3 linked regions of the Elephas maximus indicus genome follow. The protein of the gene in region 1 interacts with the protein of each later gene in a biochemical or structural test. Links are inferred from orthologs where the notes say so. Each region holds a gene or a part of one and is shown on either strand. Other genes may lie near its edges.

The links.
Region 2: of the proteins of CCNB1 (region 1) and CDH1, one has a biochemical effect on the other in vitro, tested with the Homo sapiens proteins (3 studies listed by BioGRID). The link is inferred for Elephas maximus indicus from reciprocal best matches to the Homo sapiens genes CCNB1 and CDH1.
Region 3: of the proteins of CCNB1 (region 1) and ZC3HC1, one has a biochemical effect on the other in vitro, tested with the Homo sapiens proteins (3 studies listed by BioGRID, with this or other methods). The link is inferred for Elephas maximus indicus from reciprocal best matches to the Homo sapiens genes CCNB1 and ZC3HC1.

The regions. Positions count from the first base shown.
Region 1 is NC_064820.1:74,619,540-74,626,856, reverse strand, and holds the start of CCNB1 (G2/mitotic-specific cyclin-B1), read right to left. Parts: upstream 3,049-7,317; 5' UTR 2,869-3,048; coding exon 2,848-2,868; intron 2,217-2,847; coding exon 2,046-2,216; intron 1,956-2,045; coding exon 1,809-1,955; intron 1-1,808. UniProt on the Homo sapiens protein: Essential for the control of the cell cycle at the G2/M (mitosis) transition.
Region 2 is NC_064839.1:35,054,438-35,062,047, forward strand, and holds the start of CDH1 (cadherin-1), read left to right. Parts: upstream 1-4,541; 5' UTR 4,542-4,659; coding exon 4,660-4,707; intron 4,708-4,721; exon of another isoform or gene 4,722-5,502; coding exon 5,503-5,617; intron 5,618-7,610.
Region 3 is NC_064826.1:20,160,685-20,168,175, forward strand, and holds the start of ZC3HC1 (zinc finger C3HC-type protein 1), read left to right. Parts: upstream 1-4,442; 5' UTR 4,443-4,488; coding exon 4,489-4,634; intron 4,635-6,268; coding exon 6,269-6,380; intron 6,381-7,491. UniProt on the Homo sapiens protein: Required for proper positioning of a substantial amount of TPR at the nuclear basket (NB) through interaction with TPR.

The sequences.
Region 1 (7,317 bases):
TGAAAAGACTACGCATGCTACACGTTTCATGTTATGTCCCTAAGGTAAATACTAAAGCAATAGCCTCAAGTCTCTTACCCTTAGACATAAGAAGCTAAGGTGAATGACTTTTACAGATCAGTTTCCCAACTAGCTCTAGCTAAATTGAAAAAATTAGAGCCTCAGAATGCAGTTCATTAAACTTTCAGCAAAGCTTATTTAGATAGCCTTCCTTCCTTCACAGGGATAGATACATGTACATACCTGAAAAAAAGTTCTTGGTTTTTGAGGCTAAGTGTTTAATTATCTTCTTAGCTACTTTCTTTGAAGTGCTACATTTTATTTCTGCTTCACATCTGTATATATTCCAATGCTACAGGTTTATTTAGTGGCCACATTAGAGGTACCTAAAATTGGAGCAGGGTATATGCCTCCTCAAGTATATCACCAAGGCTGTCATTTTCTTCAGCAAAATGATACCATTCATCCAAGATATGATTTTTCTTTCGTAACAACATTTTGAATTTTAGGACATAAGAGTTGTTGAAAAAAGTCAAACCCTAAAAAGTTTCCTAAAGAACTTTCCAGAGGCACACCAGAACAGGAGTTACGATTCTGTTTAACTCTAGTATTAGTAATGTAGTGCTCTAATTAATGTCACACTAACATGGTATACCTACAGAAACTAGGTGACCAAAAAAAAAAAAAATTTTTTTTTTTTCAAGAGAACATTCTGTTTCAGACAATAAATTCTAGACAGAGAAGGCTTTAACTCGTAAGCAAAATCTTTGGCCCAACCAGCTACTACTTAATCCCATTAACAAAGGAGGGCAGTATAAAAGAGCAATTAAAAACATAGGCTCCTAAGAAATATCTAGAATAGACAAAGGCATAGAGACCAAAGTTTATTAATGGTCTTTTTTTTTTACTAGGGGTAGGAGGGAGAGGGAAGGGGAGTCAGGGGGAACTGAATTTCTCTTCAGGATGATGGAAAAATTTGTATATGGATAGTGGCAATGGTTGCACAACATGAAGAAAGTAACTAATGTCATTAAATTGTACATGTAAAAAATGTTGAAACAGCAAAGATTTTTTTTATTGTGCTTTAAGTGAAAGTTCACAAATCAAGTCAGTCTCTCATACAAAAATTTATATACACTTTCCTATATACTCCTAATTGCTCTCCCCCTAATGAGACAGCACACTCCTTCCCTCCACTCTCTTTTAGCGTCCACTTGGCCAGCTTCTGACCCCCTCCTGCCCTCTCATCTCCCCTCCAGACAGAAAATGCCAACATAGTCTCATCTGTCTACTTGATCCAAGAAGCTCATTCTTCACTAGTATCATTTTCTATCCAATTGTTCAATCCAATCCCTGTCTGAAGAGTTGGCTTTGGGAATGGTTCCTGTCTTGGGCTTACAGAAGGTCTGGGGACCATGACCACCAGGGTGCTTCTAGTCTCAGTCAGACCATTAAGTCTGGTCTTTTTAATGGCAAAGATTTTTTATATATACTTTTACTACACACATACAAAAAAAGTATAGGTTTCTAAAGCTAGACAGCCTGGGTTTGAATCCCATTTGTGCCACTTATTAGTAGTGTGATTTTGGAAAAGATACTTATAACCTCTGTAAGCCATTGTCTAAAAAAGTTGATGGAAGAGTAACTTCAGAGTGTATGTCAAGATTACATGAATTAATGCATGTTAACCTACCTCATGCTAAAAAAAGCATGCTAAGCACTAAATAAATGTTACTATTACTACTATGTATTCAAATGAGGGGAGAGAAACAACCAAGAGACTCTAAAACAGGTAAGAATGAGTTTACCAAAATAGGCTCAGGCGAAAGCTTTTCTTCCTTAACAGGCTCACGTTCTAGCTCAGGCTCTGGCTCAGGCTCATGCAAAGGTGTCTTGTCCAGTGGTTTGGGCAGTTTTTTGGCAATAACTTTTCCAGCAGCTGAAGTTTTTGCTTCCTGTAGATGGAAGGGAGAGAATGGAATGTTTCTCTGTCAAGAGCCACAGGTGAACTCTTAAAAGAGAAGTTGGGTCAGGAAGATAGTTACCTTTTTCAGGGGCATTTTGGCTTGTGGCTGTTCACTGACTTTGTTACCAATGTCTCCAAGAGCTATTCTTGGCCTCAGCCCGGGCTTGGGGGCTGCAGCAGTGGCCATAGGCACTCGCTTGGCGCCTGCCATACTGGTTTTCGGCTTAAGTTCAGCATTAATTCTCGTGTTCTGCAAGAAGGAAGACCATTTTAGAGTTTAGCCAGGCTGGAGTAAGTCAAAAGTTAATTAAGGTGGGGCACAAGAGAGGCTCTCGGGAGGAAAGCCGGCTGGAAATGGGCTCGGAGGGGAAACCTGGGCACCAGGGTCTACTCGATGTCTGTGGCAAGCCATTTCCCTTCCTGAATCTCTTCATTTACTTGAATTGAACTTCGGTGAAGGCCCAGCTAGCTCTAAAATGCTGTCAATTTACATTCAAAAGAAACGAAAGCCTCCAATTGCTGGCACCTTCCTTCTAGGACGGAGATTACACGGTTGGTGGGGGCTCACCCTGGGGCTCTACCTCGTCTTAAAAAGAAAAAAGGTTTCCTATCGACCCTCCCCCCTCTCTAAACACTTATCCAAGGCCCTTTCAGTTCTTTTTGTCACTTTTCCGTCCGTCTGCCTTTCCTTCCCCAACCCCCGCCCCGACCCACTATGTAAGGAGTTCACCTCGGCACACACCGGGCGACACCTCCCCCCCCATCCTCTTCCCCAAATCGCCACCCGGGTCATCTCCGGTCGGGAGGTTCTGCAGACGAAAAAGGGCGACAGGGCACGCAGCAAGGAAGGTCGCGTTTGTTCTCGGTTCGCAGCAACTCACCCTGGTGACTCGAAGTGCCATGGCTTCCTCTTCACCAGGCAGCAATTCACAGGGAGGAAAGAGAACTCGGGAGCCCCAGACAAGCCAGGGCCAAAAGCTACCACCAAGCAACAGCCGTTCCTGCGCAGCAAGCCGGGAGGAGCCGGGTCGGCTTCGGGTTTAAACCCCGCATCGCTCCCTCCTTATTGGCTTGTTCGTGGCACTCACTCCCCTCTCATTGGCGGGTGCAGGTTCCTCCGGTAATGCGTTTCCAAGGGCGATCCCGCGACGACGTTCGAAAAGGAGGCGGGGCCACAGCGAGGCTGCGGCCCAAGGGCGCGGGGCCGAGGCCTCACGTGGTGTAGCGCCGCGGCATCTGCCACCTGGAAGGGCGAGCGGTGTGCTCCACTGAGCCAGGCAAGGAGAAGGCCTGGTGGTCTCCGAAAAGTGACGGTGGAGTGGGCCGCAGTTTTGGAAGCGTGAAAGGCAGCTGCGGCTCTATTCCTACTTATTGTTACACACTTTCCACTTCTACGTTGGTATGTAGCAGCAATGTCTTACAGTTCATGAAGGGCTTTAATATTTAATATGCATTCTTTCATTTGATCATTCCAGTTAGCCCTCCAGAGTGGAGGAACTGAAGCTCAGAGAGGCTTAGGTGACTTTCCGAGTAACACAAATTAGCCATGCGGGGACTGAACTCACGTTTTTTGGATTCGTGATTTTTGCACAGCATTGTCCCTTAAGAATAATGGCAGTTTCTTAACCTGCCAAAAAGCCAAATTATTTCCCAAAGCCAATTCTTTTTAGATTTTACTTGGAAATAATTTCGAACTTAGAAGAGTTGCAGACATAAAAAATTACAGCTAACACTCGTATATCTTTTACCCAGATTCAACTATCGTTAACATTTTACCCCATTAGCTTTGATTTTTCTCAGTCTTTTTTTCTCTGTAAAGATATATTTTATAAACATATATATTTAATTATATAAACCAAAAAACCAAACCCAGTGCCGTCGAGTCGATTCCAACTCATAGTGACCCTTATAGGACAGAGTAGAACTGCCCCATAAAGTTCCAAGGAGCGCCTGGTGGATTCGAACTGCCAACCCTTTGGTTAGCAGCCGTAACACTTAACCACTACACCACCGGGGTTTCCATTTAATTATATATGTATTTATATATACAGTAGATACATACGTATGTGCGTATATTATATGTATAGGCCCTGGTGTCTGCGTTAAACGTTTGGCTGCTAACCAAAAAGTTGGCAGTTTGAATTCACCAACCACTCCTTGGGAACCCTGTAGGGCAGTTCTGCTCTGTCCTGTAGGGTAACTATGAGTTGAAATCCACTGGATGGCAACAGATTTTTTTTTTTAGTATATGTGTGTGTGTGTGTATATATATATTCGCGGAGGCAGAAATAAACATGTATATAATTTGAGGGCAATGGGTTTAGTTTCTTTTTTTAGTGCAACTTAATATATGTTTCATTTCCCCCCTCCCCCCATCTGAAACATTTGAGGGTGGGTTATATACATCATGATCCTTTACCCCTAAATTCTTCAGTGAGTATTTTCTAAGAAATTTGCATTATTTTAATATTTAATTCACTCTAGTTTGTATTCCAGTTGACCTAATAATGTTCGTAAAGCATTTCCCTGATGCAGTACAGGATCTCGTCTAGGATCAGATGTTGGATTTAGTTATCCCATCTCTTTGGCCCCCTTTCATCTGGAGTAGTTCCCAGTGCTTTGATCTTTTATGACATGAACATTTTTTAAATATGCAGTACCCCTCACTTTTTCTTTTTATTAAATAGCACCTTCTCATTTTTGTGTCTGATGGTTCCTTGTGATTTAAATTGGGGTTGGTCATAGAATGCATAGGTGATTTTTTTTTTTTTTAGATGATGTTAATTTTGATCACTTGGTCAAAATTGGTGGTCTCTCCACTATATTATTACTGTAGATTTTTTTCTCCTTTGGAACTAATTAAGTGTTTGTGGGGAGACACTTTAAGATCATGCAAAATACTCTTTCACTTTCTGCCTAGATTTCACAACCATTGGTATATCTTGCCTGATCCCATCTTTATCATGATGACTGCAAAATGACTATTTTCCAACTCCAGCAGTCTCGCCAAATTTACCATTTAGCCCTCAGCATTCAACTGTGAGAAGCCTCCCTTCTCCCTTATTTATTTATTTGTATAGTAATTAGTTATTCTGGATTCATGAATTGATTTTTTCAATGGCTTATAATTTATTATTGTACTCAGGGGCAGATGACCCAGTAAGCAGGGTAAGCACAAGCTTACTTGTACTCACTTACTAATCTGTAGTGAACAATTTCACATGGGTTCACATGTAGTGAAATTGTTCACTACAACGTGCTTACCTTGCTTACTGGGTTATCTGCCCCTAGCCAGGGATTGTACATTAGACAAGAAGCTTTGATTCTGTAGGAAGGGACTGTGGGCTTGGGAGAGAGACAGATGCTGGCTATACCTAGAAGCAGAATCTTTGATGTGATGAAAAAATATAAATTGTTCACTACAGATGATCTGGTAAGCAAAGTAAGCACCATGCTTACCTTGCCTATTGGATAATCTGCCCTTACCCTGAAATGTCCTTTGAAATTAATGTACCCTGGAACAGACAGACAGCACAGCACAGTGATAGTGACAAGAACTTACAACTTGTGTCAGAGAAGCACAAGTCCTCAGAAATGGGAACTTCAACAGATGACTTCTAGAAAGACATTTATTTGGTCTTGGGGGCCTTGGGCTTACCTAGATGTGTCTTTAGGTTGTAGGGGGAATCCTTTCTGTGGCTGTTTTACATTAAAGGTGGAGATTGATTGCCAGGTTTGAAGTAGGTAATTATACTCCAGCCCTTCTTGAGGGAAGCTCTTTCAGTTCTACAGAGAGCAACCTTTTCAGTTGGTCACAAAATCTCTTTTAATTTTCAAAAGTGTTTTTTTTTCTTTTATGCTGCCTTGTACCATGCTTCTGGGTCATTTTAAGAAAAGCAAAAATGGATCCTTCACTACAGGAAGGACTAATATTCGTAACAATTATGTTGTGTGTTTATTTCTGACAAGTCTTTTTGATATTGCTTTCCCCAAATTCAGTCCCCATATTTGGAATTATGAAATGGTTAAGATGTCTTTTACACTAAAATGTCTTTGGGATTTCCAGGGTTTCCTTTGTATTTCCAGGTAAATACAAATAATAACTCCTTTATCTTATAAAAGAAGTAATAAAAATAAATAGATTTGTTTGGCATTCTTTAGATTTTGATTACCTCAAAACTTGTTTGAGAGCTCTTCTATTTATCAGACCCAGGATATAAAAACAATGGACAAATCAAAAGATTACATATTTTTATATCTATATATCTACATGGCTACATATCTATATATGTATTTCTAGGAGCCAGTGGTTAAGCACTTGGCTCTAACTTAAAGGTTTGAACCCACCAGCCGCTCTTTGGGAGAAGAGACCTGGTGATGTGCTTCCATAAAGATTTCAGCCTAGGAAACCCTATGGGGCAATTCTGCTCTGTCCTATAGGGTCGCTGTGAGTTGGTATCAACTGAACACATTTTGTTACTAATATGTTTCAGTGAATATATACTTTGAGGTTGAGAAGAAGCATACTCATACTGATTTATAAAAATTGATATATTATCAATTGATTTGTTTTAAGGAAAATTTTTGTTTCCAAGATTAAATAATTTTGTCAATTGACGATAATCATAATATACTTTGTGGTGCAAATTAAAGGAACTAAAGATTTGTCAATGCTGTCATTGTTGGTCCACGATATGTTTTTATTCCACGGTGACTATTGACAAAGTTGTTATAAATCATTATGTATTATACTTGAACAGAGGAGCCTACCTTCGTCCATTCTAGTATTGTTGTAATAAATTAACCAGAGCCCATTACAGTTCATTTTCCTTTTTTTTTCCACTTTTTTATTATGGTGAAAGTATATATAACAAAACATTTGCCAATTCAACAATTTTTATATGTACAATTCAGTGACATTAATTACGTTCATCATGTAGTGCAACCATTACCACTGTCCTTCTCCAGATTATTCCAGTACCATTAGCGGAAACTCAGTGCCCTCTGTCTTAGTCACCTAGTGCTGCTATAACAGAAATACCACAAGTGGATGGCTTTAACAAAGAGAAATTTATTTTCTCCCAGCCTAGTAGGCTAGAAGTCCAAATTCAGGGCGTCAGCTCCAGGGGAAGGGTTTCTCTGTCAGCTCTGGAAGAAGGTCCTTGTCATCAATCTTTCCCTGGACTAGGAGCTTCTCCATGCAGAAACCCTGGGTCCAAAAGATGTACTCTGCTCCTGTCACTGCTTTCTTGGTGGTATGAGATCCCCAACCCTGTGGTTGCTTTCTTTTCCTTTTATCTCTTGTAAGACAAAAGGTTGTGCAATTGAGAAAGAAGAGCTGGGAGTGGAGC
Region 2 (7,610 bases), on another chromosome or scaffold:
AGACCCTCATGACTGTCCATACTGAAACCTGTACCAATGATTAAGAAAGACAATTCAAAATGTAGGATCACAGTTTCTTGCCAATCTGTGAAAAGGTGAAGCATTCAAAGTCTTTGCCCACTTGTAATGTTAATATACACTGAAGTTTCCTTGGACTCGGGTGGACATGGCTCTGGTAGCATGCTTGTCCGTTTTCCCATTCTTGCTTATTCTGTAGTATTTCCTTGGAGTCCAGCTGACATGGCTGTAGCAGCATGCTTGTCCATTTTCCTTCTTTTGTCTATTCTGTAATTTTCTTGGATTCAGGCAGACATGGTTCTGGCAGCATGCTTGTCCATTTCCCACTTTTGCCTTTTTTGAATATATGCCAAATAAAAGTTTCTTTTTGCTTTGTGATGTTTCATACCTTAATCATTATGTAAAAAAAAAAAAGAAAGTCTTTCTCAGAGATGTATATGAAATATTTTCAGGGGAAATGACAGGTACCCTGGGATTTTGCTTTAAAATCTGCAAAAATTAAAAAAGCAGGGTTGGTGAAATGAGACAAGTTTTGGTATAATCAGAAAGTTTACAAGTTACAAAAATTAAAAAAAAAAATGATTCTTGAAGCTGGGTAATGGGGCTTCATTATACTATATACAGTATACATTATACTATTTACTTTTGTTATATTTGAAATAAAAATGTTTACTGCATTACTGTGTGGCTGGGCTGCAAAGTTACCAGCATTATAACAGCAGGCTGTAGCAAGGGTGTCTAGTTCCCTTCTGCGTGCTGGTGGTTAGCCTGGCAAGACTGGGAGGGGTGTCAGAAGCCCCCAGGAACAGCTAAGAATGGAGCCTGCTCTCCCAACTCTGTTGCGAAGGCTGGCCTGGCTGTAATCCCTAGCAGTTCAAATTTCCCTGGGGATTCATCCCCAGCCAGCTGGGGGCTGGGCTCCTCTCAGCAGAGGCCAAGGGAGGTCGCCCCTCCCAGTCTGAGCACCATTATTACTACCTGGTAGGCCAGGCCACACGGAGATGAAAGGGACAGGCTTGCCTTGGGAACTAATCACTAGCCTCTCTGCAGGGCCCGGACACCCAGGAAATGAAAATCCGCCAGAGACACACACTGCAGTGAGGAAGGCTGGGGTTTATCACCTACCTGGAGAGATCTCAAGGGAACAGTGGAGGCCTCTAGTCAACATTCCTTTTTTCTGTCAAAGCCTGTAATTCCACATTAGCACTCAGAGATTCCAAGCTTTAGATTTGGATTTGTTCTCCCCCAGCCGTGAGGCTAATGAAAGTTATGGGTCTTGCTACCTGCACCTACAGGTTTGCACACAATCTCCAGTTATTCACAGACCCCCCTAGAAACCCATTCAAGACACCAGATTAACAGAGTTTAGTAGAGCCAAAAGCTTTCATTCATTTGAAAGAAGCAAGGTCATTCTTTAGAACCTTCTTTAAAATGCAAATGACCCTGGGAGGGTCAAAATGACCAGCCATCCAGCCTAAAAAGAATTTCCCCCAGCAGATACAAAAGATAGCCTAAGAGGTTTTAATGGCTGGGGTGGAGGAGGTATGGGTGGGTGGGTGTAGAAGAGCCTAGGTGTGGGGAACTCTCAAGGGGCCTCACAATTTTCCCTAGAATCTAGAAGGAAATGTATTGGGCAAAGATGCTAATAGCTAACTTTTACAGAGTGCTTATAATAACCTTGTGAATTATGCTCCAACAACATTCCCGTTTTAGGGATGAGGAAGCCTAGACTTTGAAAGATAAAATGGCTTATCCAATCTAGCTAGTGGCAAAGCCAGAACTTGAATCTTCCCTACAAAAGTTGGAAACCCTGGTGGTTAAGAGCCACAGCTGCTAACCAAAAGGTCAGCAGTTTGGATTCACCAGGCACTCCTGGGGAACCGTGTGGGGCAGTTCTACTCTGTCCTATAGGGTCGCTATGAGTTGGAATCTACTTCACGGCAGTGGGTTTGGGTTTTTGGTTTGGTACAAATTTTGGCAGTTGGAACCCACCCCACGGCACAGCGGAAGATTACAGCCAAGAAAACTATGGAGCTCAGTTCTACTCTGTAACACACAGGGTGGTCACGAGCCTGAATTGGCAACAGGCTTGGTTTTCTGGTCTGGCCAACCTGAGACCCAAGGCTACTCACATCATAACTCGTTGGCTCACCTACCCTGGCTCATTTGATCTTAACATGGAGTTAATTAATATGCTTCTTTGATACAAGGGGAAGCTGAGGCAATTCACTGTGTTGCCAAAAGTCACAAATCACCCCACCTCCACAGGGAACCGCTTTGTGTTCCCTCCTTACCCTGGACAGCTGAAGGGGACCGCCCATCGGGACTCACTCCCTGGAGCTTCAAAGACCTGCCGAGAAGTCTGAAGTGTGCATCATCCCAACCTGTCCTCGCTGCTCTTAATTGTTTTCTAAAATCTTTTTTATTGAATTATCAGAGTGTAATGGAAGAGTCAATGAGAGTCACTTCAGAATTATAAGGCCAGGGCTTGCGGGGAAGAAGAAAGCAAAGCCCTAAAGGCTCCCTGGGCTGAGCGATGGTATAAAATATATATTTTTACATAACTGGGAGAAGAAAAAAAAAAAAAACCACAAAGTGGCAAGGCTGCCCCATGGGGGAAACGCCTGTTTCTGTATTTCCATTATCTTGTTTAATGCACAGTCCAGCAGGAGCCTCAGTGGGAAAGGAAACACCGAAGGCTTCTCCTCCAAGCCTCCTGGCAGGTAAAAAGGCAGAGAGCCAAGATGTAGATATCCAAATGGCCTGGGTGTGTGCTCAGAAACCCATTAAAACAGAGGGGACCAAGGGTGGCCTGGGCAGACTGGAAATGGTGCCACTCCTCTGGAGTTCTCGGAGAACTACCCTCAATAGGTTTAGATTCACCTTTCGCTCTGGGTGAAATACAGTATTCCAAATGTGGCCTTCCCAGTGAGGAAGGGAAAGAGGGGAGTGACCCTTGCTAGAGAACAACCTCCACATCAAACATTTATTGAGCAGTTACTATTATGTGCCAAGTACTCTGCTTAGAGATTTTCTTATATTAACTCATTTCAATCCATTTATACAAATAAGAAGGGAGCCCTGGTGGCGCAGTGGCTATGGGCTCGGTGGCTAACTGAAAGGTGGGCAGTTCAAACCCACAAGTGGCTACGAAGGAGAAAGATCTGGCAGTTTGCTTCCGTAAAGATGACAGCCTTGGAAACCCTATAAGGCAGTTCTACCCTGTCCTGTAGGGTTTGTTATGAGTTAGAATCAACTTGATGGCCAAAGGTTTGGATATATAGATGAGAACACTGCCTGGGCCAAGGTCACACAGCCAGTGAGCAGTTGGTGGGATGGGGGAGCCAAACTGCACAGACATGGCTGGCCATAGGAAAGGGAAGGTGTCTGACCTAATGTTTGCCTGGCTATTCTTTTCTTGATCTTAAAATCATTTTACTGGGGACAGATGCTTCAGAGAAGGCTGTGGTGGTGGGTTTGGTGTGGCTTTAAGAACCCCAGTTGGGGATCAGGAGATCTTGGGTTCTAGTCTCAGCTTTGACATTGACTTGCCGTGTGATGTTGAGCAAGTTGCTTGCAAATAACAGGTTTGGGTGAACTCTAAAAGGTCTTTTCCATGTCAAAATTAAAGGACAGATTGAAACCTGCAGCTCCAGCTGGAAGACTTGGGGGGTGGGAGAGGGTGGGAAGCCACACGAGGTGAAGCATAATAGTTAAAAGCAAGGGCCCTGGAATCAGAGGGAGGTAGGTGCCAGTTCTCTGCCACTGCCTATTGGCCTCAATCTCTTTAAGCCTCGTTTGCCCCATCTATCAAATGGGAACAATGATACAGCACTTGGTTTGTATTGAGATGAGATTAAGTGAATGGTCAATTCAAATGCTCAGCACAGAGCCTGGGACAGTAACATTCAGTGCCCAGCACCTAGTGCTAGTATTATTACCCCTCACACCTGTACAGAGCTTTTATGGTGCAGGAAACATTGGCCTTATTAATTGTATGGGAACCCCACAACAACACAGTCAGGTGTTTGTACTTATTATTTCCATTTGGATGGTGTAGAAGGTGAGGCTTCAGGTGAGAGGTGGTCCTGACCCTGTGAATCAATCCGATGACTCACTAATCGATGGAGATCTGCAGTTAAAAAGACATAACTAGGTCATTTTACTGTGGACAGAATTCTCCAGATAGTGGTTGGTGGTGGCTGTGGTGTGCCTTTAAGAACCCAAGGGGTCCTTTCTGACCCCTGTCTTAGCCCTGGTAGGGCTAGGATTTGAACCCAGTGAGAATCGGAATCATGCAGCCCCAACGCTCCACCTAGGCCCTACAAACCTCTCCTCAGCTTATCACCGGGTCGTTTCGGGGCCGCAGGGCGGGGCCGTGGGCGAGCCGCCCGCCCCCCGCCCTGCGGAGGAAGCTGCGGGCCGAGCCACGCCGCCTATAGGCTGCGGCCAGGGCAGGTGCATCCTCAGCCAATCAGTGGCGCTGGGGGCGGCACCCTCGGGACTCACCTGGTGGCCGCAGCGCTGCTCTGCTCAGTGGCGTCCGGAGTCCAAGAGCACCTGTGAGTTCACGGAAGTCTTGCCAGGCTCTAGCCCGGCCCAACCAGACCCCCGCCTCCCTCAGCCCCGGTCCGGGCCGCCATGGGCCCTCGGTGCTGCAGCCTCTTCGCACTCCTGCTGCTGCTACAGGTACGTCGGCTCACCTGACTTCAGAGAAAGCATTCTGGCCCCACGCTCCGCGCCTCGGCTCTGCGTCCCCTCTTCTCTCGCACTGTCCCCGCTCCTCCTTCAGAGAAAGTTTGGGTCCGAAGGGCGAGAACGGCCTGGAAGCTGCGGCGCGCTCCCCTGAGTGGGAGGGGTAAAGCGGCGCGCGGCTGAGCCCGCCCCCGGCCGCAAATACCCGAGTGGGGGGCGCACCTCGCCGTAGGCTCGGGGGGCTCTGTGTTGGTCGAGGTGTGGACTTGGACCGGGCAGTGGGGACGTGGAGTCAGTCGGGAAAGGGAAGCCCCGTTGTCAGTACAGGAGAAGCCAGTAGTGGGAACGAAGTGAGGAAAAGGGCTTCCATAGAAATCAAGACACCTCCCATGTAAGTAGAAATGGGGGCGTCCCCGGGATAGGGAAAGTGAGGTCCGAAGGGGTTGGGCAGCCCCTCTGTGAGGAATTAGATTAAGGCGGGGGCGTTTCGGTATGAGAAAACGGAATCGTGAACTGTAAAGACACTACCAGTGAAATGAAAAAGAAGACAGAAAGGAAAGGGGGGCTTAGTCATGAGGAGGTGACCCAGAAGCTCCCTCCCGCGAAGTTCCTTGGGGGGCTTGGCGGCTGCGGGTTTCGAGGTGGCAGAGGGTGACGCCGCTGTCTTCTGGGGTAGTGGGGCGTTCCTCCCTCAGTCCCGATGCCGCAAGCGAGGGAGGATTTCAGTGTGAGCAGGAGGCAACCCTCCCCCCCAAGTCACCCCGGTTACATACCTTTCCCTCACTGCAGGTTTCGGCGTGGCTCTGTGAGGAGCCGGAGCCCTGCCGTCCTGGCTTTGGGGCGGAGAGCTACGTGTTCACGGTTACCCGGCGGCACTTGGAGAGAGGTCACGTCCTGGGCAGAGGTGAGGGCACGCCGCCCGTGGGGGGACGGAGAAATTGCATACCTACGCCTTGGCTCTCCTGGGCGAACCCCCCTCTTGGCTCAAAAGATATCCTTTTGAATGTGCACAGATTTAAGGATTTAAACTTTTACTAAGTGTTTGAAGGACGACGCCCTGTCTGTTTACCTATGTTGTAAAAGGGGGAAGGCACTAATAAGAGCCTTCAGTGTGTCTTAAGTCCTGGGCACTTTAGAGAAAGGTGGGCAATATTCCCGTTTTACAGATGAACAAACCGAAGCTCGGGGGGGAGGGTGCAGTTCACTTGCCCAGGGTCAGGGGAACAGATACTGGAACTAGGATCTGATTCCCACGCATAGTTCTGCAACCATCTCTGTGGTGACTGTGGAACCTTTTTGGTTGCCAGGGCTGTGGCTTTTGCTCTGGGGATGAGAACATTTTGATACAGGTGCTATTCCCCTATGAAATAATGGTATTTAAAAAAAGTTTGTTAGCTCTGACTCAGGGGATGAAAATGCATACAAACGCCCAGTGTACTTCTAGGCTTTATCATTGTGATCACCTGGATTCTGGAGTTTGTTTCACTTCACTGTTGCCCAGGGGCAGGATAGAGGGAAGGGGTTGGTTTCTCCTCTGATTTCCCTGTTTCTGTTGCTTGCTTATCATCAGTGGACTTTCTCCTCCCTCATGATATTGGTTGATTGGGCGAATATCATAACAATGAAGGAAGCACTTTTTAAAAAGAGAAATCACCCACAGTTCCCCTGAGGCATCACTGAGTTTATTCCTCCAGTCTTTGGCCACGTGAAGAACCTGCAGCAATCACACTGCTGTCTTAAAGATTTTTTTTTGAACTTTGGAAGTTGTTCTAACAGTGGGCAGCCTTTTCCCCAGAGAAACTGCCGTTTGATTGATTAAACATATTTGCTTTTCGGAGGCCTTTCTCTGTTGTTTAGAGCTTCCTGTTGGGTCAGAAAGGACACATCTGCCTGATGTTGCAGACGGTCGGCCGTTACTCAGGCAGTCTCTATTTAATGTTTTGTCCAGCCTTGGGCTGGGCACCAGGGAACACGTTAAGAGATGTGGGGACAGGATGCTCCAACCCTGTCCTCAGTATTTCACATTCTAGCTGATTGTTGAGAATGTCTCAGGGCCCCTTTACCAGAGGGCACCATGGTGCCTGGGCAATGAGGTGCGAAAGGGCGAAGATATTTTGGTGGACAGTGAAGACTGACTTTTGGGAGGAATAAAGCCTGACCTGGCCTTAAGAGTCAGGTAGGGCTTAGAAAAGGCAGTGAGTATGTTACGTGTGTATATATGAGGTGTGTCAACACAGGTGCTGGCCAGTTTGCTTTCATGCACCAGGACAGTTGAGTATATTTGGTTAGTCCCAAGCGTGTGTTATCAAAAACCAAACCTGACTCATAGCAACCCTATATAAGAGAGTAAAACTGCCCCCTAGGGTTTCCAAGGCTGTAATCTAGGAGCAGCTGATGGGGTTGAACCATTGACCTTTCAGTTAACAGCCAAGAGCTTAACCACTGCACCACCAGGGCTCCAAGGGTGGGTTAGTCTGATTTTTATTTTCCCCTTCTAAGCACATGGCATCTGACCAGTAATATTATGTATCCCTAACAACATAATTATTATAATTAATAGCAGTCTCTTTATTACTCGCTTTTGAACCAGATTCTGGAGTAAGTGCTTCACATATTGTATCTTATTTAAATTCACAACAATTTATGAGGGTAGGCACAATGATTATTTCTTTTTTGTGGTAACTGAAGCACAGACAGGTTCAGTTATCTGCTCAAGGATCCAAACTGGTCTTTTTCCTCCTCTTCCCCTCTTCTTTCTCTTCAATATTCAAAAAAAAAAAAAAAAAGATGATGATGTTTGGGGAATTTGTGGCTTTTGTGAAGTAGACTACATTCTCCCTGTGGGCCCCTGGAGAGCAGAGGGGTTGATAGGGTGGGCCCCTTCAAGGAGGTGATGA
Region 3 (7,491 bases), on another chromosome or scaffold:
AAAAAAAAAAAAAAAACTTATTGTGAGGAAGGTTGGTGGTGCAACCTGTTAAGCTCTTGGCTGCTAAACAGAAAGGTTGGTAGTTCATAACCACCCAGCTGCACCAGGAGAAAGGTCTGGCGATATGCTCAGACAAAGTTAAAAAAAAAAAAAAAATTACAGCCTAAAAAACCCTATGGGGCAGTTCTATTTTGACTCAAGGGGTCACTGACTCTGAATCTACTCGATGGTACACAACAAGACACATACTAGCCAAATACAATGTTTGACCTTATTGACACCTTGATTGGAACGTACCAACTCCTTTTTTTTTAATGAGAAATTGGACTGAATATTGAATTATATTCAGGAATTATTTTTTTTTTAGGGATCGTGGATGCCTTTTTTTTTTTTTAAGGTATTCTTCTCTTTTCGAGAGGTATAGTGAAATGTTCATAAATGAAATTTCATGCTGTCTAGGATTTGCTTCAAAATAATCCCGGAAGGAGGGAAGAAGCTGTGTAGGAGACCTGGTGAATTTTTGAAGGCAAATCCTTGCTCCCCGAGCCCATACCAAACCCACTGCTGCCAGTGAATTATGGTTCGTGGTGACCCCATGTGTTAAAAAATAGAACTGCACCATGGGGTTTTCTTGGCTGTTTGCATTACCAAAGCAGGTTGCCAGGTGCTGCTGGGTGAGTTCCAACTGCCCACCCAGGGACTGTGTTTGCTCCCACGATCCCCTCTCTAAAAAAGCTAATCTCAAAGCGTCCATGTTTTTGTGTCGCTTTGGAAGTGAAGGTCTTAATTTCCTTTTGGGGTTTGGAAAAAACAACCCTGGGCTTTTGCTATACAAAGGTAAAACGGAGATTGTTTGGTAGAGGGGGGAAGGAGTTAAACAATTGGGCTTGAGATGACTGGAAAGGTAAGCCTCATCGAGGAGTTTAGATTGAATCCTAATAGAACAAGGAGCCATTGAAGGGTTTAAGCAGAGATGGTACACAATCAGATTAATGTTTTCAGAAATCACTGCAGCTTCAGTGACTTGGGTTGAGGATTTATACAGTGATATCTGTGAGAGCCAGAACTCTCCCAGACTGCCTTTTTTCGAGGGGTCTCAAGTTTTCTGCCGTTCACGGTGCAGTCTTACCACTTTTCTATCGCTTTTATCAAAAAGTATCTCAGTTTTCCTTTTCTGACAGGTTTCTGCCTTACACGAGTTCTGGCTTTCACAAGTTTTACTGCACTGAAGTCTGTCCACCATCATGGGTGAACCTACCTATATGCAGCAGCCTCAGGGAAAAGACCTCCTCCCAAATATCTCCTGCCGGCTACAGGGAAGGTCTATCAAGTCACACGATAGTATGTGTTTGAGAGCAATATGACTAAAGGTTGGAAATCCTGTTTAGGCTCTGATTTCAATGCAATATTGTTTAGGCAATAAGCCACATGGGTTTATAAACATCCATTATGAAGACAAAACTCTTGTAGTGGTGCTTTATAACTGAAAGACTGGAGTATAATTAAACTTTGCTTTTTTACATTATTTAATAACTTTAGTTTTTTGTTGACATCATGAAAATGACAGACTCCAATGGAGTAATATATGTATTACTTTAATTGTTGCAGGCTAATGAGAAGGGGCAAACTTGTACCAGATGAAGGCTGCGTGACATCATAGCAGACAGTCCAAAAGCAAATTCCACAGTGCCTCTAATGTTACAAGCCCAATGAAAAGTGGAAGTTGGAAAAGAAAACTGACTAACGGCCCATCATTTTCTAAATGGTGTGAATGAGTCATCTGAGTACTGATTTCCTTTGACAATCAGCTAGAAAGCTCTGCACTCAAACTATAAGATTTTTTCAACATCTCTGATAATAGAACTCAAAGTCCAGATATTACTTCCTGTTCCCAATTGCAGCAATAATTTGTTCAGATTCTCCCTTAATGCAGATTTAAATAACACTAACTTAACTGCAAGCGAACAAGACAGTTTTATGAAGGTATCAAATGACATTAGAGAAATGCTTCCTGGTAAAGTTTTTGTGAAGTATTAGGTCCAATAATCCTGAACTAATAAACAAGGTGTTGAAATTATTAAAACCATTTTGTGTTTTTGGTACGGCACGCTTATGTAAACAGGCATTTTCTGCGTGCATTAATATTACTGAAAGTTAAATCACAGAAGTGGATTAAACAGAGAACCTGAACTGAGGCTATATTTTTCTACTTTTCTTCAACATTGGTGATTTTATTTCAGCAAAGCAGTATCATTCATCACAGTAAATTAATGTCGTTATTGTGAGTTGCTTTGAGTTTATAGTTGTTTGATTTAAAATTTTTGTTCTGATTTTAAGATTTTTACAAGCATAAGGGAAACCCTGGTGGCATAGTAGTTAAGAGCTACAGCTGCCAACCAAAAGGTCGGCAGTTTGAATTCACCAGGGGCTCTTTGGAAACCCTATGGGGCAGTTCTACTCTGGCCTATAGGGTCGCTATGAGTCAGAATTGACTTGACAGCAACAGGTTAGGTTTTTTTTTTTTTTTTTCTGGGGGGGAGGGGGGTATAAGCACAAGGAGTTGACAAATACTTTATGCACTTAAGTAATGTATTGATTTAAAAAAACTTGTCAACATTGAGGAGGGGGCTTATTTTCCCTTTTAAAACAGTATGAAGAAAATAAAAAGGTGAAATGAACATTACTTAATTTTAAGAAATGCTATCTACAAAATTCCCCTTCTTGCTTAGGTTAAATTGGGTTTGTTACCTGAAGCCAATACAATTGTAATTGATATACCGCCTCTGGAGTTGCGAAGGAGCCCTGGTGGTGCAGTGATTAAACCCTCAGTTGCTCACCAAAAGTTTGGCAGTTCAAACCCACCAGCTTAGGAAACCTTATGGGGCAGTTCTACTCTGTCCTATAGGGTCGCTATGAGTTGGAATTGACTCGCTGGCATCTAACAATAACAACAAAGAATTGTGATAAATAGATGCAAACAATAAAGTACAATATGAATTAAGATATTTACTACACAAAGCAGATTCTGAAGAACTGCTTCTTAATTAGTGGGAATGGATGATACAATGATAATAATACGTAAAGTTTTTAATAGTACCAATTTTAGCCCGATAGCTATATGGGTAACAATTCCTTAACATTAATTCTCAATCTACATTCAGATTTTGCAAAGGAATGATGATAATAATTGGTAATGAATTTAAGATGGCTGAAGAGTCCCTAGGGGGTGCAAACAGTTAACTTGCTTGGCTGCTAATCCAGAGGTCGGCGTCCACCGAGAGGTGCCTTGGAAGAAAGGTCTGGCAATATACCTCTGAAAAATCAGCCATTGAAAACCCTAAGGAGCACATTTCCACTCTGACACACATGGGGTCACCCTGAGTCAAAACCAGCTCCATGACAACTGGTTATGATGAAAGAAGAAACAAAGGGTTGGGGGGTGGTGTTAGGGACAGTGGTAAGGTGGTACGGTCAGTAGATGACAGGTCCTGGTGAGTCGGAACTTTGTTGGAGACCGGGAGGAGGCTAAGAAGGGCAGGAGGTGGTCCCACTTTTCCTTTTGCACACTGCGCAGTTCCAGCAGTCTTCTTTTTCAGTTGATTATGAGAGACAAACTCCTTCCAGCCTGAGGCTTTGGAAAATTCTGTGCAGATGTCTTCCCTGCAGTCTCATCCATCTCGGCTCTGGCACCACTTTCTCAATCCAAAAACTAAATTAGGTCCTCCAATTATACCGTCACTAAGTCTTCTTCATAGCACTTACATAATCATAATTTAAAAACCAAAGGAAAATCTATTTGCTTGATGTCCACTAAGAACTATGTATCCTTTGTTCACTGCTGTCGTTGCCAACACCCAGTGCAGCGTCTAGCACATTAGTTAAACCAAAACCTTTGCTGTGGGGTCATTCCGACTCACTACAACCCTATAAAAAAAAAAAAAATTAATTGCCCCAAAGGGTTTCCAAGGAACAGCTGGCAGATTCCAACTTCCTACCTTTTGGTTAGCAGCCATACATAACTCTTAACCACTGAGCCACCAGGGCTCCCGCACCAACAGCAGGACACACTCGATATTTGTAGAACAAAAAAGGGAGTGTTCAATAGTGTCAAATGCCACAGGTTCTAAATGCAACCACTCTTTTTGCTCTCAAGCGAGGGTTCGTATTTACTCGTTTGAAAAAAAAAAAAGTAATTTGGGAATGAATTACTTTAGTTAATACTAAATATTAATATTAATTACTTTAAAGTTGGACTTCATCCCATCTGAATTTGGAGCATATCGCTGTATAAATCCGCTGTCAGCCCAGATATGCTCGTTCATGAAAGTAGTACTTTACTTAGCCCTCCCTTCTAAAACGGAAGGGATGGGTCTACAGTCAGACTGCTGGTTCGCGTTGGCAACCGTGTCAGAGGCGGATCTTAACCGTCGAGAACGGAAGTTCCTGAGCGTTCAAACCGGCGGGGAAGCAACTCGGCAACGGACCAAGATGGCGGCGCCCACCGAGGGGCTAACTTTTGTCGCGGGGGTGGAAAAGAATTGGGGTGCGGTTGTTCGCTCCCCCGAAGGGACCCCCCAGAAAATCCGGCAGCTGATAGATGAGGGGATTGCCCCAGAAGAGGGAGGAGCGGATGCGTGAGTTCGCGAGTCAACTCTGGGACTGGGGCCGGCAGGTTGGAGAGAGATTGGGGAACATAGGCCTCGGGGGTCGCCCTGGTCCGCGCCTCTGGCGTTGGGACGGCGTTTTCCCGGATCGGAAAGGGACTGGGGTTGCTACACTTAGCTTTTTTTTCTCCCCACCGGACCCCGCACGAGGGGTGGAATTTTGCCATAGACAGTTATTTGGAGGACAGAAAGAAAGAAAGAGAACCGCTAACTGAATGTGCGCGCCTAACTTCTCTTATTTAGGGGTTCTTTACCCTTTTTTTGTGCCACGGACCCCTTTGGCACTCTGGTGAGGCTTATGAACCCCTTCTCGGAATGTTTTTTAAAGGCATAAAGTAAGATACACAGAATTTTAAAGGAAGTCAATGACGTTGGAATGCAGTTATGAAGACAGTAAAAGAAGAGCTACAGTAACATGCTTCTTTATTAAAAAATTAAGTAATACCTACCAGTCGGTCTGTTAACCCAGCCCGTCTGTTATTTCCCATAATTTCGTAGTGATGCACATAAACGCTGTTTTAAAACATGCGCAGCAACCATAATGTGATGAGAAAAATCTGATTTCTATTGATGACAAATTAATAGGTCCTGCTAATACTTCTGACGTTTACTTTCATTCGTAATTGAAAGGAATGCTAAATTTCAGTTAAACTAGTTGCGGTTGAGCGGATTCCGACTCATAGTGGCCCTATAAGACAGAGTAGAACTGCCCCATGAGGTTTCCAAGGAGCGGCTGGTGGATTTGAACTGCTGACCTTTTGGTTAGCAACCAAGCTCTTAACCATTGCACCACCACAATCCCATTTAAATTTATGCATCCTTTGATTTTTTTCCAAGAACCACACGCTTTCCTGAGGCTCTCTCTGAGTCTGAGAAAGGTTCTTAGAGTAAAAAATACATATATATGTTTTTTTTGCATATAATAGGTGTTGGTCTAATGTGCTTTTCTTAAAATGACTCTTGTCTTTCAGCATCCTCCCCCCCCCCCAGCCCATTGCCATTGAAATGTCTTTCACTAGAAATGAGAAAATTGTTTTGCTGATCTTTTTCTCTGAAATTCTTTCATGAAATCTCCTAAAGATGTTTACTCTGATTTGAGGTTTTTTTGGCGGGAGGGTAGGGGTGTGTATCAGGGGCTGATTCAGGTAGAAATAAGAAAATTGTTTTTTTCTGCTGTTAAAAGAGTTGATATCTAAGGCAGTACAAATTGTATAATGCATGACTGTCACCTGGAGTCTCATTTTGCGTTTACTAAAGTTATGCAAAACACTGTTGGGAAGAGTGAGGTAGGAGAACAGTTTGTTAGTACAGGATTAGTGGAGCACTCCAGAGGTAGGAACTGCTGGAAAGTTAGGTATGGCCAACCTGTAAACAGTTTTGAATGCCATACTGAAATATTTGAATTTTATTTAGCAAATAGTATAAAACCATAGAAAATATTAATCTGAGGAGTAGCATAACTAAAAAGATTTTCAGGAATGTTAAGATCCACTGTTGATGTGGTTGATAGTATAATGTCGAGAGAAGCCAGATAAAAAATTCTTGGGCAGAGTGGTACCATAAAAGGATTACTACTAACAGTTCTGTCTGTCACTTTACTTTAGGAAGGACACATCTGTCACCTTGCAGTCAGTTAATGGATCACCCCAGGCAGAACAACCTCCGTTGGAATCTACAAGCAAAGAAGCCTTCTTTAGCAGAGTGGAAACATTTTCTATATCTTTTTTTTAAATTACAATTTATTTTTGTTGTTGTTGTTGTGGAGTTCCATATCCTTTTTGACTTCACGTTAAGTTGAGCTTCCTGCCTGCTCCTGGAATTGTTATTCCTCCAGGGTATTACACCACTTACTCTGATGTTTTAAAATTAAGAATCAAAACTTGGTAAAAAAAATTTTACCAAAAATCAGTATCATAAAATGTTATCCCTCAAAGTGACATCTGAGATTATCTAACCTTTATTTTTATAGAAGGAGAACCTAAAAGCCTGAGAGGAGAAGAAATAACAACTTTCATATATAGTGCGTTTTCACATATATTGTGACATTTGATCTTCACCTTAAACCTATGAAAATAGGTATTAGCATTATCCTCATTTTACAGGGGAGATGACAGTTAGGTCATGCGACTTGCCCAAGATCAACCTACTAACAAATAGCAGAGCCAGGATTATATCCTAGGACTCTTGGTACCCAAACCTGATAGTTGTTTTTTTTTTTTTTTTAACTGTGTACATTTCTTGTCTTTCTGGATTTTCCTTTGTGTATTAGTTATCTATTCTGTGTAAAAAAAAAATTACTCTAAAACTTAGTGGCTTAAAACAACACACATTATCTCACAATTTCTGTGGATCAGGAATCCAGGCTTGGCTTAGCTGAACCATAGGGCTCAGGGTCTGTCATAGGCTGCAGTCAAAGTGTCAGCCAGTGCTGCAGTCATCTGAAGATTTTCCTCGGGAAGGATCCACTCCCAAGCTCGCTCGCTTGGTTGCTGCCAGAACTCATTTCCTCATGGCTGAGGGTTTCACTTCCACGCTGATCGTTGGCTGAAGGCCTCCTTCAGTGCCTTGCTACTTGGGCTTCTCCATGGGGAGAGTTTACAACACTGTGATTGGCTTCATCAGAGCAAGCCATAGAGTAAGACAGAAGCCAGAACCTAATCTGTAATCTAATCTCAGAAGTGACATCCCATCACTTTTACCATATTCTGTTCATTAGAAGCAAGTCACGTCCAGTCCACACTCAGAGAGGAGAGGATTACACAAGGCTGGGAATAGCAGCAGGCAGGGATTGCTGGGAGCCCTTTTAGAAGCTGTCTGGTGCACTTTG